2 linked regions of the Lonchura striata genome follow. The protein of the gene in region 1 purifies or fractionates together with the protein of each later gene. This does not show direct contact. Links are inferred from orthologs where the notes say so. Each region holds a gene or a part of one and is shown on either strand. Other genes may lie near its edges.

Region 1 (8,162 bases):
GATATGTTGTGTGTGACTATGGCAAGAGTGGCACAAACATATCTAGTGTGAACAGAAACTGTTCCAGCTAAAATTCGGGGTTTACTTTCGTTAGATAGGAAAATATTTGGCTCTGGTCAGGCCTGTATTAGGCACAAGCGCCCCTAAGCATTTATCTATATATAACAGTTAACAGTTTGGTTATGCAAATATGAAGTGTTTCCTGAGTTTCCTGAATGTTTGCCTTTTGTAAGGCTCACCTGCTCTTCTGGAGCTTTAGATGTTTGATATAATAATTCCAATGTACTGTATGGAACAGAGAATGGATGAGAAAGAATGGGGGCTAAGAAAAAGGAGAAATTAGTGGACATGACAGACAGAAGTCAAGGTAGAAATCACAAAGCAAAATCAAGTAGAAGAAAATGGAAAGGCAGCAGGGACAAAAGAGTACATCCAGAAAGTAGCTTTGCATAAGCTCGATTCACCTCTTGTATAACTGCAAACAAAAGAAATAAAAGTGGGAATACAGAGCTGCATTCCCACTTTCGTTTATTTTGCTCGCGTGTATCCGTTCCAGCACTTCTTGCACGGTGTGTGCCAGCCAGGGGAAGGAGGGGCAGAGGCAGACAGCAGCCACCTGCAGAGAACGCGAGTGTTCTCCCCTCGCTTTCCCCGCACGCCCCACGCCCAGCCGCGCAGCTGCTGCTCACTCGGGCGGTCACGAAGCGCTCTGGTCTCTGCGGCGGGCTGGGACAGCTGGTGGCACTTTCCAGCTCCATCCCCAGCAGCAGCCGAGGGGGGACATGGCATTAGAGCTGTCCGTGGGGACCGGGGTGTGCTTTGCTGCACACGAGGGTCAGCCAGGGACTACGTGGCTGCGGTGGTGCTGCGGACAAGAAAGATGATGGGGCCGCGGACAAGAAAGATGATGGGGCCGCACGGGCTGGCAGGGCTCCTCACAGGCGGCTCGAGCCGTGCGGGCTGCGGAGGTTTCTGCCTGTCTCGGATTCAGGAGTTGTTTAGGGATCTGGGGCAAACCAGTAGAACAGGCTGATGAATCCACACGCTAGGTGCCAATCTGGGTTGCTGCTTTTTTTCGGGAGTAAACAACTAGGAGCCATTGTTCATCTTCCTAACTTTCTGCAGGACACAGGTTGTAAATTACATCCAGGAACAAAAGCTTGATGGGAGTAGAACCGGGCGCTCAACTTCCCAAGGGAGTGCTTTGCCCTCCAGCCAGAAGAGCAGCTTTTCTTGCTTAAACCAGCGCAGGCTCTTCTTAGGGCTTCCCATCAGCACTCAGAGCCCACGAAAAGTGTGCAGTTCAAGATTTGCCACACTGGAGCATTTACAACCGTTGCCATTACAAAGCCTGTTTTCAGGATTGATAATGAAAATTAAATCTACTCTGAAATTGAATCCAGTCTGAAATGCAGGAAACCAGATTGCAGTCTAGAGACATAGAGGAAATATTATTAAAAATAGCATATTTTATTGATATTACGGATAAGTGGGTATGAAATCCTCCCTGCTTCCCCAAATCTGATTTTCAGCCAGTCTCACAGATCACCCGTAGTCTACACAAAACATACACAGCCATGAGCAGAACTACCTAATGACATTTTGCTTTTTTTATATTCACTAAGACCAGTTGCTGTTCAGCTCCCCATAACAAGCTTGAAATATTCACCAAGTTATGCTCATAAACTTCTTTTTTTTATTTCAAAAAATAGTATTTCTGCTGATAATAGAAAAAAATTAAAATTAGGAGATCTGTTTCTTTAGAAATTTTAAGGCTTGAGAAGACAAATGCCACTATTTTCCAGAAACAGAATTCCGTTCTACTCTTCTTTCAATTTCTTCCATTCAATAGTGAAATCAATCTCCATTTCTACTCTTTTTTTTCCATCATAAGTACAGGTTCATTCAGGTACATCCATTTTCTTGTCTGTCCACAAAATAAAATCTAAATATTCATTCTAGGGAGAGGCTGTGTCACTGAGTTCAGTGGAATTTTGTTCTTTCAATTAAGCTAGGCCAGAATTTAATCCTCTATGTGAATTCCTGCAAAAAAAACCTACTTCTTATATAGTTGTAAGCTATGCATGTTACTTTTCTAGGACTCCAATATATGTACTTCCTAGTAGGAATTTTATCAAAATTAATTAGTGCTGGCTACAGTTCACATATGTGATAAAATCACAAATGAGTTATTTTGGTGTTCCTGTGCTATATTATACCATCACAGATTCAGTATTCGCAGTATCAAAGATGTCACAGAAAAACACTCTTTTAAATTCTAGGGTTTTATCCTTTTTCAGTCTTATTGTTTCATTTTCTTTTGAAAACTTAATTCATTAATCATTTTACAAAATTTTGGTGTCAGTAGTTTAGCTTCTTGTTGCCAAGGAAGTAAGCAAATTCCGGATCTCAGATATTTAGCAGTACTGACAGGCTCAAAAGGGATGCTCTGCTGCATTTTTTCAGCTGAAGATTTGCTTCAGGATTTTTCTGTTCCTATGTAATACGGTTTTCCCAAACTAAAGGAGAAGTTACGTATTTCTCACAAAGAAATCCCCCAAACAAAACCAAAACAAACCCTGAAAAACAAACCTCCAAACCCAACAGTTTCTCCAGAATTGTACATCTGCTTTGACTAAACCTTCTGGGCAGCATTTTGCCCTGCAGCCAGGCTAAATTTGGACTGCTGCTGGCTACCTGAGACCAACATAAGCTGACCATGTTTGTGTGGGAAAACAGGAAATTTTTTGTGCCATTTTTTTGGTGGAATGCACATGTGTGTTCTAGGCTGCCATGTAGGCAGGCTGATGGCACAAAGAATGGCCAAACTCACATGTCCCATACAAACAGCTCATTAATTGTTTTTGTGATTTATCACATGAAATGATGTAAAGTTATCAATTATTTTTCTTGTGTAGATCTATCTTTTCCTTTTGCATGAGGTACTAGCACCTCCATGCTGTGGTCTAAATGTGTCTAATCTTAGCCCAGTTTTTCAGGGCAACAACCCTGAGAGTCTTTCCAAAGCAGAATACCACCCACCCTTGCTGAACACATGCAGAAATTATTGAAAAGACTGAGATGAATAACAACTAATATTTTGGTATCTAGAAAACAACCTTTACATATTCAGTTGTCAGAAGGGCTATAGAATTAGAAACTTCACACCATGAAGAGACCAGGAATTTCCACTCCTAGTTATCTAAGATTCTGCCTCTATCCCTAAAATGGATGTTATTCTCCCTTTACCTGTACCAAAGAAAACTTTTATTTTTTTTTTAATTCTGTATCATTATAAATACAGGATATTAATGGAGAGTCATTTTATGTTCATAAAAAATAGGACTCAAAATTTCCTAAATTTAAATGAAATGTTTAACTATTCTGTTTCATCCATAGGACATGAGTTTTAAAAGTAACTTAGCAGTTGAAGAAAAAGATATACTTAGTAAATTTAAAGCATTTGTTAACTGTGTGCCAGCATTTTGAAATCCCACTAATCTTTATTCATGGATTTTGATGCCAAAACATTTACAGATATAAATACACAGGATTTTACAGAACTATTTATCTTTCCACTTTAGACAATAACGTATATAGGAGATTGCTTTCTAATTGGTTTTAAAGCCATTTCTTTAAAAAAATAAAAATAGCATATTAACTAAAGAAAAGGTGTTTTATCCATAATTTCAAAGTTGCTAGCTTCATAATAAAAATATACCCTGTGTTTAAAGGAAAAATTTTTACTTTAACTTTGTCCCATCAGATATTCTAGACCTGTAGGAAAAGCCTGTTGGAACCTGTTGCTAAAAATTTGCCTGGTTGAGGAAAGGATAGCCAGCCATCTCTAAGTCAAAAGGCAAAACAAAGGCAAAGTCCTGAAAACCTCTTTATGTGACCTTCTTCTGCTTGTGGCTGGAGATACTTGTCTGTATTTTTCCACTGTTTGTGTTAACAGAGATTAAATTAATGAGAAACTTCTTTCAAGTGGGGAGATCAACAAAATGGTAATCTGATATAGGACTATTCAATCCAGATTTGGCAAGGGAAGCTGAAATCCAGGCATTTATGGCTGTTAAAGGTGAGAAGTGCTGGCTTTGGTGATCCCTGACCAACCCCTCATCCCAGGGCACAGGAACCACTGTTCCAATTCTTCAGCTCTAAGAGAAGCCAGTGCATGGAGCCACCACAGGAAATCTCCAAGGCACACAAGAGACAAGAGACAAGCCTTTTGCTTATCTACAGAGGCTTTGGGGTTTTCGCCAGAGGTTTCATGAAGAGCCAAACAAAACCACACACTGCAATGAACATATGTCCCTCAGGAACTGAGACCTTGTTTGAACCTCAAAAATCTCGTAACTTTTCATCCTGCTTCTCTGCTTTCTGAATTGGGAATAGGAGGAAAAATTCCTTCTGTACCTTATTCCATCAATAGAATAAATATCAGCCTTAGTGCTCAGCATCACTCACTTCTGGCACTGGCATTATTCACTACTTTTTGTTCATTCATTTCTCTTCTTGGAGCAGCGTGTGCAGGGACACCAAGGGTAGAACGGGCTGTGGGAAACTGAACAGCCTCAACTTACCTTCTGCATGATGTTATCCTCCAGCAGTGAACAAAAACATTGCAGAAAGCTTCACTGCAGAGCAGGCATTTTACTTGCTCTTAATAGAACCGCACAAAGAGAAAATGGCAAGATAGGAATAAATAAGCAAAATGTTTTTGGAAAATATCTAGGCTGATAAGATGCTTTACCAGGGTTTAGAAACTCGAATGCTTTTATGTTCACTTGGTTTGCAATAATGAAGAGATTTTAAAATGCAGGATGAAATGCTTATAACAAACAGTGCATTTCTGAGAGAACTCAGGAGAGATGACACAAATTTTCCTACAAGCACACTAAGTATAACTTTTGACTAGCCTAGTGTAAGAAGAGAAGGTTTAGTGGCTCTTTAAAACTCAAGTGTGCCTGCTTAGTCAGTCCTAGCTCTCCTTCCACTCCCCCTTCTTCTGCTGCTGGGTAACTTTTGTTGCAATATGGGTGTGACTTTTGATGGAGCTTCCCCCTCCCAGTTATGTCATTACTTCAGTTCCTTTGAATCAGAATAAAAAGTGCAGCAAACTTCAGACTCATTGACTGCAGGCTTAACAAGCGTTGGTGCTTTCCTTCCTTCTGCAGCTTGCAAGGATCTTTGGATTTTGCAAAACAGTTCTAAGAAAACAATGGCCAACTTCTTACGGACAATTTTTGGATTATTTTTGCTGAAGCTCTGTCTAGCAGAAACAGGTAAGATTTTTATGAATGAAAACTCTTATGATTGTTAAGTTAATGCTTCAGACAGCAAGTGTGCTTCTGCTAGATAGCTAACAGCTTTCTTGCATCTATAAACTTTACTTATTTCAAGTGTTATCAGAGATGTTTTAGAAGTGTAATCTCAGTTGTGCTGGTCTGTACAAGCACGGAAAGCTGCGTATTGCTTGTAAAGGGCAATTCCAAATATGTAAAAACTGAATTGTAGAACATTAAAGAACGAAGTTTAAATTAGGAACAGAACTCCATCAGGGAATTCGGAATGGCTCTGGTAAAGCTCAGTTTGACAATGTGACTGCTGTTCCACACGCAGTTTTTTCTCCCAGCTCCTCTTCGGACGGCAGCGAAAAGGGGGCGGAAGGAAGGGGGTGAGCCCCCACCCCCCATCCAGTTTACAGCTGCATTCTGGAGTTTACATGAGCTGAACCAACAGCTGAAACAAGCTGCATTTGGGCACAGCCTTGCTGAACAGGAGAAAAACTGCAGGGAGCTCTGCTGAAATTTGGAGAGCTTTTATGCCAAGCATGCTTGCTTCTGACTTTCTAAGGTCTCTGTGGGGCTGACTGATGAGCTTTTGGAACAAAGGGGGTTAGAAGGGACAAAGTTCAGCTGTTTATCACTTACCTTCCTGTAGCTTGGTTATCTGCTTCAAATATTTGTATTTAAGTATCTAAGGTTAATACAGAGAAAAAAATAAAAAAATTATGTCCAAAGTGACAAAAAGCTTTTGAAATTTTACATGGTGTAGGCTCAACCATGTTTTAGGGGAATGACCATACTTTTAGCAGACTCTCACTGTGACTGTAACTGCCTCGAGGCATTTTGTGGTTGGGGATAACAGTTGTGCTTCTGTATTGTTTTTGTACTCATCAGTTTCAGGAGTCTAACAAAATGCATTTTTCATGACCATCGTCACCCAGGGCCGTGTGCGTGTCTGTGTATGTACAGTAAATATGTGTCTCATTTGCTTGAGCAGCAGGGGATACTTCTGTTAATGGTTGCAGCGCTGCCAGGCTGTGAATGGGTGTGTCAGAGGGAGCAAGTTCCCAGTGCTTCTGTGATAGCTGAAGCAGCCTCATAGCTTTTCTTCCTAAAATTGTGTGTCCATTGTATCAAAATGCTCTTGCTAAGATGAGGTTTATAGGCAAAGTCTTAAGAGCAAGGACAGGGCTGCTCTAGGCAAGTAAAGTATGTCTAAGATAAGTTTAAATCCTTGGCTTGGTCCACGTCTGTGCACTGTGTAAATAACTGCTTGACTGATTTTTACTTCTATGAGCTGCCTGAAGTGTCCTAGAGAGCAGGGTCTGCACTGACTCTGGGAGTAATGTGTTTTTACAGTGAGACAGAAAGCCCCATTATTGAGCCATCAGTGTAGTTACAAAAAGTGTGTCAAGCTCCACATATGCCCTCCAGGGAAGTTTCTTTACTGGCTTAGTAAGGTACTAGAATATAGCTACAGTATATTTAAGTTGGTATACAGTACATTCCAGCATGACTTTTTAGTCAGTAATTATTTCAAAACAGCAGTTGATGGTGGTGTTTTCTATTTTTAGCCAGTGATTTTGCTGTGTATCACAGACTAATGGCTATTGATGCTGGGAAACTCCTGAACTGGAATTTTGATTCTTTTAGTACAGAATTGTACAGAATTAAAAAGGACCTGGAATTACTGTTAATGTGATTTCAGAAGGAAAAATGAGATACAGAGAAAGCTGGAAAACTTACTCATCCTGATTTCTGTGCTGTTGTGACTATACTGTCACTGATATGTTTCTTACTCATAGTGTTGACATGACTTGTTTAAGGAGTCTGGATCCCAGAGAATATAGATGCTGACATCTTGGTTAATGATGTTTTGCAGGAGATTTTCTCCTGCAAACATTATGTATTTGTAGAAATATTTTTCTTAAAGTTTTCCTTGATTAATACAAATCCTAGAATTTTGACCCCCAAACTGGAAGGGGTGGGGCGCAAGAGAAGAGAAGTAGTAGTGGTAAGCATGAAATGGAAAGAGGGACAATGAGTCTGCCTGTGGGAGGAAGGAGCTTACCTGTTAGCACTGGAGAGGTTGCCAGAGCCCATTCCAAGGTAATGCTGTGAGACAGGGCTCCTGCAGCTGCTGGTCAGTCACAGAGGAAGAGACCTGCCTGCCCCTTGGTTTACATATCTATCATGTAAATTTGTAAATAAAGTAGTTTGAAGAAGCTCTTTGTGCTAGTTTATTTTCACTCGGTCCTTGCAGTGTCTATCTTGGCAGTTTCCCAAAGCTATAAAGTAAGGAGACTTTATTAAGAGTTCACTTGAACGTTCCATCATTGTTTAGTGGAAGGGTTATGGAGCTGTCCTGGAAACACTCGCACACGCAGAGCCAACAAAGCATGGTGGGGGATTGTTTTCGAGAATTTGGAGAAATGTTTGAAGATTCTTTAGGTACTGGTGTTCACCACAATGAAGAGCCATTACCTTGAAAATAGGAAGTCGGAGAAAGGCTTAATGAGGACAGATAGCATCGGACAATTGAGGAAGAACTTTTTAAAGTAAATGCTTTTAAAACCACTGATAGCTCTAGCCAAAGTTAAACAAAATGTTCATTCATATGTGGTGTATCTTTCTTTCCAGAAGAGTTCCCATTACTTTTATAGGTCTGAATTGAAGATAGTGTGAATATTGCAGTTATTCATCTATCACCTAAACATGCATGAGGTTTGACTGTATCAAGAATGTGCCAGGAGCCAGAGACATCATGACATGCTGTGATAGACAGATACACACCAAAGAGAATCATGAGCTCATTACGCCTAAAATACTTGTTGAAAAAAATGTGATAATATTTGATAATACTAGTTCTTA
Region 2 (8,254 bases), on another chromosome or scaffold:
CAATCCAAAGATATCAGGAGCATTTCTCAGGGTGGGGAGCCAAGGGGACAGGATGGGCAGTGTCCTGGCCCTGCCCTGGCTCTAGAGACAGTCGCTGCCCTGGGCAGCCATCAGGTGTCCACAGGGGAGCCCGTCCCTTCTCCAGCCCACAGGCAGCAAGCTCAAGGATGCTCTGCTCCATTCCAGCCCTCTGAACTTGCCTGGGTGTGTGGGCACTTTCAAGGAGCCCAAGAAGCCTCGGCATGCATCAAGCACCAGGGCAACTGATGGGAAGAGCTGGAGATCCCCTGGGACAGCTTATTAAACATCCCAGCCCTGCGAGCAAGCTGGGCTGGAACAGAATGACATTCATACAGCAGCTCAGCCTCAGTGCCAGAGGGGCAATGTCAAACAAACATAATTAATTTCCCTCTGCAAATCAATCGGGGGCAGAAGTCAAGCTCTCCCAGTACAGGAGATAGACTGCAGTAGATAATCATCCTACAGGATGAGCGTGAGCCTTGCAGCTCTTCCAGGGGCACCTGCTCACCTCCCAGCAAACCAGAGCCTCCCCGTGGGCAGGAGCTCTTTGATGCACCATCAGTGAGTAACTGCCTGCCTGCACTGCCCAGGGCAGGGAGCTGAGCCTGGCAGGACTCTCGGGCAGCAGGTTTCTGGGATGGATAGCTCAGCCCTTTACCTGGCAGCTCTGGCAGTGTGGGGAAGGCTTTGTCTTGGTGCCAGGAGTGCCTGTGAGGATGCAGAGCCCTGAGCACCATTGGCCCTCATCTCCCCTGTCCCTCTGCCTCGGGAGGCAGGCAGATATCAGTCTGGGGACATGCAGGGGTGCTGGCCTGGCTGCAAGCACTGCTGGGGAGTTGCCTGCCTTGACTGCTGTCTGCAGACAATAAAATATCATGTGATGTCTTAATGAGCCCCTCGGCATGTGACAATTGCAGGGGAGTGGAGCTCCTGCCTGGCTGGAGGGGTCAGTCCCAAGCTGTGAGGACCATCAGGAGCTGTCCTGTCCCAGCCAGAGGCTGTCAGGACTCTCAGCCCTGTGATGGGGCAGAGAGCTTTCATCAGCTGTGATTGAAAATGAGATACCACAGGAATGTCAAAGAAGTGGCAAAAACAGCTGGGCTGGGTGCTTTGAAGGCAAGGCTGGGTGGCATCGGTGTTCTGCTGTCCCTGGCTGAGCTTGCTCCATCAGCTCCTGCCAGGTCTCCTAAAAGTGCAATTGTGGTGCCCCAAGCACTGGTGGTCCTGGAACAGGTCCTCACCTCCAAGAAGAAGATGATGTTTGGGCAGTTTGGCAGGCAGGGACTCCTAAAAAATGTGTTTCCCAGAGGAGCAGCCAAGTAGTGGTGGGTGGGGGAGGTTATGGTGTTGAGAGGAAACCAAGAAAAGAAAAAGCCAGTGTGGGTCCAAATGTCTTGGCTGGACAGTGGCCTGTGAGAGGGACTCGAGTTCTCTCAGAGATGGCATCAGCAAACCCCATCCCTGCATGCCACTGCTGAGCTGCCAGCCTTGGGGCAGCGTGCCAGGCGCTCTCTGTGACCCAGATGTTCCAGATGATGGGAAGCGCTTTGCCAAGGCCAGGCAACACACCTGGAATCCCTGCAGGGTGCAGAACAAACCCTGCGACACCTGGAATCCCTGCAGGCTACAGAGCAAACCCTGCGACACCTGGAATCCCTGCAGGCTACAGAGCAAACCCTGCGACACCTGGAATCCCTGCAGGGTGCAGAGCAAACCCTGCGCCCTGGCTGTGAGCGGAGAGTGGGAAAAGACACCAGCCATGTCTTGGGAATTAGCACAGAGGGTGACACGGGCACAGCCTGCCCTCGGTGCTGGTTCCCATCTGGGGACACACAGGCGTGTCCTGCCCGAGCCCCAGGCCCGGGCTGCGTCCCTGGGACCGCGAGTGAGCACATGTGCACGCCCGGCTCTGCCCCGCGGGGCTGGGGCACGTCCCACACGCGTGTGCTCTCCTGGCCGGGCTGGGAGCCGCCAGCTGCCTGCCAGGAGCCCCGCACCCTGATGGGCTCCAGCCTTTTCAGGGAGAGATGGAGCTGACAAAGTCTTTGTCAGTCAGATCTGTCAGGGAAAGCTCTTTGTTCTTCAGCATTTGCTCTTGCCTCCCCCTCTCCAAACCTAAACTAGATGCATCTGCTTTTGTTTTCTAAATGCAGAATTAGGGGCTGAAAGGAGCCCCTTTGTAGTGGGGAGGAGGGGAGAGCTGCAGATCTTTCACGGGGAAGGCAAGGTCAGGGGGGAGCCGCTCTATTGTGCAGGGCCTCTCCTCTGCCGGCTCAGCCCTTTCTGTGCCCCCTCTTCACAGTCCGGCACTCTGGGGACGTGGGGAAGCCAGCCCGGGAGGACGGGCTGCTCTCCCCAGCCCGGGAGGACGGGCTGCTCTCCCAGCTGCGGGGACGGGTCAGCTTTGCCTGCGGTGGATTTTGCTGCTTCCGATGCCGCAGCTGGGAGCCGGCGTGTGGAGGCAGCAAATGAGGAGGAGGAGGAGGAGGAAGATGAAGACCACCCCGTGGCCTTGGGCTGGCAAGTGGAGGCGGGCAGTCTGACAGAGCTGAGTGTGCAGATGGGCACACGTGGGGCTGGAGGGGCTACACGTGTGCACACGTGTGTGTGACTCCGTGCAGGGACACAGCTGGGGCGTGCGTGCTCCCACGGGAGGGCAGAGGTGGGGGCCAGCAGGTACAGCCCCCGTGTGTGCTGCGGGAGGAAGGGGGGTCTGCCAGAGGCTGTGCAAGCTGTGGGCTCTGGGATCCATGTCCCAGGGAAGCTGCTTCCCAAATGCCTTTGTTCCTCCTCAGACAAGAAAAAACCCTCAGCCATGACAATGCTCTCCAAGCTCTGGCCTCCCAAGCCTCAAAACTGCACCACCAATGCAAATGTGTCCACGGAAGAGCCCTGCACATCACACGCTTCCTGCCCTGGTCCAGGAGAAGGGCAGGGGCCCAGCATGGGCTGCTGATGCCAAGGAACTGCCCCAACCCCTGCAGGGCAGGGGGCCCTGAAAGGGCCACAGTGAGCTCTGGCTTGCTCCGTGGTCTCTGCTGCTCCTTGGCGCAGCCATGCCCCTTGCAGACCCCCACCTGCTCCAGGAGGTCATTCCCCCTCCCTGTCCATCCTGAAGGGCTTGCTTGTGCACACACCAGATGGTGACAGCTCATGGTCACTTCTGTGCTGAGCCCCAATGTGATGCTGAGGCCAAGGATGCAGCCAGATCTTTGAGCCTCCCGGGAGCAGGGGATGGTTTTCCCCATTTTCTGCTGTTTCCAAGCACCTTTATTGATAAAGGCCCAAGAACTGGTGCTCTGTTGATGCAATCATGCAGAAAACCATGCCAAAGGACCAGCAGCCCCAGAGCCTGTCCATCATGAGGGGTTGTAGCCCGTAAGGTCTGTTTTGGAGACAGCATAGAAAAGTCTGGGGCAGAAGCCTAGTGGGAGTCATGGATAGCAGGGTACAGCAGCTGTGGGTTCCCCAGCAGCCTCGGCACCTTCAGCCCAAAGCTCCTGGCTGCTGGGCAGTGAGGAAGGCAGGCCTAGGGATGGGTGGCTGCACCCTAAGTGTACACTGGATGAGTAGTGCTTGTGCAGGGCTGGAGTTGGCTCTGCCATCACTGAAATACTTCCCATCTCCAGCTTGCTGGGAGAACATCCCAGCAGGTGTGTTACCTTCCCCCCTTCTCCCTGTCCACAAATCTGTCAATCTGGAAGGGAAATATTCCACAGGTCTTGGCATGGGGAGCTGAACGGTTGCCTGAAGCAGGAGGAGGCTGCTCCTGGGGATGGATGCCCAGCATTTGGTTCAAATCTAACACCGGTGACTGACAGGGCTAATTCATCCTGTCCTCTTCCCTCTTATAACTTAATCACTCACACATTGCCTCGGCAGGTCTTTCCCTGCTGACTGGAGATGTCTTCATCCTGGGATGCCCTGACTTGGACTCATGACTGCTCCCACATGCTTCCCACATGGAGGCTGAGTGCCCTGCACCACCCGTGTGACCCTGAGCCAGTCCAGCTTTGGGGGAGCTCGTCTGAGTGCCCAAACTGGGGCTCTGTGAGCTGGCCTTCCATACTGGGGGCTACAGAAGTCACGCTGGGCTTACTGGTGTGACAATATCCCACTCTGCCTTTTGGCTTGGGAACTGAGTGTGGCCCCAGCTGAGACTAAGCCAAAAGTGTGTGCTGAGAGTTTTGGGGAGCTCTGTGTTAGAGATGCCATGGTCCTGCTCCAAACCTCGGTGAAAACAGCTGGGAAGGGCAGGGACTGCAGCAGTGGTGGCTCCTGGGAAGGACTTGGGGCTGATGATTTGGGACCTCTGAAACATCTGCCCTGGGCCTTGCTCTGCAGAGGGGCTGGCTGGGGCTCCAGGATGCCCAGAGCTGTGCCCACCCTGCTGCCTGCATGCACTGCCCGCATCCCGCTGCCTCCACACCGGGTGTTGCACTGGGATAACGGGGGGTGCAGGCAGGCCCCTCACCCCAGCCGGTACCCACGGGGCCTGAGGCTCCCCTGGTGCCAGCAAGAGCCACAGGGCAAGAATGCAGCAGTGAGGGGAACATCACGGCCAGCATCCCTGTGCTGCCCCGAGCCCAGCCTGCCCTGCCTTCGGGGCGATCACCGCCCGCAAAGCCCCGGGGGACGTCTGGAACGCCACTCCGAGAGGCCAGCGGGGTCTCCAGGTGGGGGGGCGGTCCGGCTGTGACTACAAGCCCCATCAGGCCGCTGAGGAGGAGGAGGAAGGCGGAGGAGGAGCCGCGGCTGTCGGCGGGGCGGTGCGGGAGCGGCTTAGTTCGGCGGCGGCGGGCGCTCGGCGGGACGCGGCGGGCGGGCAGCGGCAGCGGCGGCGTCGGGGCGGCCGCGCCTTCGGGAGCGCGTCCGGCAGCGGCTCCGGGAGCGCCTCCCGCCGCCTCCGCCGGCCGGGCCGGACCGGGGCTGCCATGGGGCGGCCGCTGTGAGCGCGGCGGCGGTGGGGCTGCGCCTCTCGCCCCGGCCGGGGCTCCCCTCCATTGTTCCCGGGAGCGGCGGCACCGCGCCGCCGCCGCCGCCCGCGGGGCTCCGGTGAGTAACGGCCGCCGCTCTCCGCGCGGGGGGCGGCACCGGGACCGCGGGGCGTCGCTTTGTGTTCCGCGGGGCTGGCCCGGGGGCTCGGTCGGGGGACGGGGCTCGGTCGCGGCCGAACCCCCCCAGGTGCGCCTCGTTGCCCTGGCGGGGCGGCTCGACGGCGGCATCGGCGCGGGGGGGGCTCCGCCTTGAGGGACCCGGGGGTTTGCGGGCAGCGGGGCGGTCCGGTGTGCGGGGCTCGGGGGCCCCGGGCCGTTCCCGGGGTGCAGCCGCTCGGCGGGCAGCAGTTTGGGAAGGCGGCGGGTCCGACCCCGTCCATCGGCCGAACCGAGACTGGAACCGCCCCCACCGTCCCGACCCCGAATCCCCTCCCGGCCGCGGGGGAGCCTGGCGGGAATCGGGGGTCGTTTTCCGAGTCGCTGCCTGGCCCCTTATTCCCCAAAAGTAGCTGAGCGGGAGCCTTGCGGCTTCCAGAGAAAAATGGAGAAGGAGCTGTGTTTGGTGTGTTTCAGTTCTGGGATCCCGGGGCGGTCAGCGGGAATGGAGGCGCTGGAATAACGCCGTCCCAGAGCTGGTGCTTCCCTTTGTGTGTCCGCGCCGGTGGGGCTCCCGGAGCCGCCGCATCCCAGCGCCGTGCGGGCTCCGGGAACCGCTCGTCCGCCCACGGCGGAGGCGCCGGGAGTGCGGGGAGGCGGCGGCGACACCTGCGATGGCGGGTGACCGCCGCGCCGATGCGGTCACCCTCGGCACCCGGAGGGATCGGTTGCAGAGGGGTTTGGTTGTGCTTTTTGTGGTTCTGGGGCCGGGAGACGTGGAGGTGGCCGCTGGCCGCGTGTGGGGACGGAGCAGAGCGTGTGTGCGTTCAGGTGACGCCGAGGAGCTCCACGGCTGCCTCGCCGTTCCCGTTCTGCCCGGGTTACCGAGTTACTGCCCCGTGTCCCGGACCGCGGCGGGCCGGGGCAGCTCCCTCCCGGCAATGTTTAAACCCGGGCAGTCGGTGAACCCAGCGGCTCTCACGGTCGCGCTCGGAGGGACGCTGGGGCGGTGCGCCGCTGGAGGCGGTGGTTTCTCCGCCGGGGCTCTCCGGTGCCGACGAGCGGGATGCCAGCACGGGAGGGGGCGCACGGAGAGCCCCCCGCGCGGCGCGGGGACGCCGCGGGAGCGAGGGCCCTGCAGCCCCCTGCTCTGGCTCGCAGCCATCTTCCCCACTCGGGAGCACTTCCTCCCTTAATCCCTGCGCTGGCTGGCACGCACTGCTGCCTTTTCCTTGTGTTGCTCCCAGAGGATTAAAATAAATCGCCCCTGCCCCGGCAGGGTGCAGGCACGAGTGGTGCCGGGCTGAAGGCAGCCGGCGGGAGCCTCGTCTGGGCTGTTCTGCACACAAGGTGCCTGCCCTGGCCATGCGGGAAGGGTCACTGCCAGAGGTGAACTGGAGCTCCCTCTTTACCTACCCACCTAAAAACATAACCTGAGCCGGCAGCCTTATTGTCTCCAGCCCCAGGTGGAGCCCCCCCAAATCCTGGCTGCTGGAAATGGCTGCTTGCAGATGCTCATCCCATCCTGAAAATCCAACTTTCTGACCCTTTAGGGACCTTCTGCTTCTGGACATGATGGCAATTGTGTGTCCTTCCCCTCTCAATGGCTTTCCTTGGAGGAGTGCAACGTAGTGAAAACCCAATCCAGCTCCCTCCCGGGCTGGGTAATGGGTCTCTGTCCCTGCCTGGGATGGCAGGCTGTGATTGTGTCCCAGTGTCCTCGTCCTTGACCAGTCTCCTCCCAAAGCAGTCAAGGGGTCCAGCCCAGTACAGATTTTTGGGTATCAGTGGTTGTTTTGTATATCTGAAAATCAAGTCTTGAGGTAGGGAGGGATCCCTGGTGTGAGGATGCTTCTAGAACTGTGATGGTTTTGTGGAGATCTGTGGGTGTGGCTGGGCGTCCTTCCTGCCCCATGTCCCAGGCTCTCCCACCACTGGATACCTTCCCACAGCTCGGTGCTGGAGGTGGCCCTGGTAGCCCTAAGACCTGGCAGCCAGCTGGGAAGGGTTAACATGCTCTTTATGCTGCACAGTTGGATATTTATTTTTCCAAGCATGTGTCTGCTTTAAGCATTACAGGTTTTCCCTACAGTTCCATGTGCAGTTATGTTTGCCTTTTATTTCAGCAAATACTTGGTTCTTGACCTGAGCCACAGGTTGGAGCACGAGGCACTGGGCAAGGGAAAGGCTTCGCTCCTGCCGCCCACGGATTGTGCCTTTGGTGTGTCCTTCTTCCCCAAGGGCAGCTGGAGGGCTGCTTTTGTTGTGCCTCAGAGGAAAAGGAGTCTCTTTTCATGTGCTTTGGAGCTGAGGGGCATTTGTGCCAGGCAGGGTGGTCTGCTGGCAGTCACCACCTCCCCTCTGAGGGACAGGGACTGCGCCTGATTGGGCACAGTCTGCCACCTCGGGCTCCTGATGCTGTGCAGACCCAGGAATTGAGCTCAGACTCCTCTCCCTGCTGGATTTGGCCTGTCCCTGTTCTTTTCCTGCCTGCTGTGTTAGCCGCTGGCTGCTGGTGCCAGGGCAGCCCGGACGTTCTGACGTGGTGAATGCCACGGGCCATCTCTGCCCCAGCAGGGAGGCAGAGGAAAGGAGCCAGAGCCCCCCAGCCCCACTGAGCCCATGGCAGCAGCCACCCCCATCACATCCAGCACACAGGGATCAGACTGGGGCTCCCCTGCAGATGTCACAGCATTGCAGGGCTCCGACCCTGGCTGGACACCCTGCTCCTGCACCAGCTCCTGTGCTTGGCACCTCAGCTGCATTCCAGAGATGAGCCACAGGACAGGAAGGGGCTTCCCCTCTCAGAGCCACTCAGCTCAGAGCCAGGGGGTGCATCTGCTGTGCAAGTGGGAAGGTCCTGTCTGTGCAGTGTCCCTGGGACAGCTCAGCCCTGTGACTCAGGGCTGTGGGAGATGCGAGGAGCGAAAGTGCAGCCCTCAGGGTCCCTGAGGGCAGTGAGAGACAGGTTGCACAAGACTCCTCGTGGACACACTGGTGTGCAAAGGCAGTGTGAGAACATCTTTCCTGGTACACAGGGAGCATGTGCCCCTGGAGGGTGCATGGATGGGCACAGGGTTGTCCATCACCACTCCAAAATAGCTCTGTGGGTGTAATGGCTGGTTGTAATTGCAGTTTTG

What was found.
Region 2: the proteins of CD44 (region 1) and FGFR1 purify together in Homo sapiens (affinity purification with mass spectrometry; 3 studies listed by BioGRID and IntAct, counting the BioPlex papers as one, with this or other methods). This does not show direct contact. The link is inferred for Lonchura striata from reciprocal best matches to the Homo sapiens genes CD44 and FGFR1.

What each region holds. Positions count from the first base shown.
Region 1 is NC_134608.1:43,624,356-43,632,517, reverse strand, and holds the start of CD44 (CD44 antigen), read left to right. Parts: upstream 1-5,112; 5' UTR 5,113-5,224; coding exon 5,225-5,288; intron 5,289-8,162. UniProt on the Homo sapiens protein: Cell-surface receptor that plays a role in cell-cell interactions, cell adhesion and migration, helping them to sense and respond to changes in the tissue microenvironment.
Region 2 is NC_134634.1:4,490,682-4,498,935, reverse strand, and holds the start of FGFR1 (fibroblast growth factor receptor 1), read left to right. Parts: upstream 1-5,037; 5' UTR 5,038-5,076; intron 5,077-8,254. UniProt on the Homo sapiens protein: Tyrosine-protein kinase that acts as a cell-surface receptor for fibroblast growth factors and plays an essential role in the regulation of embryonic development, cell proliferation, differentiation and migration.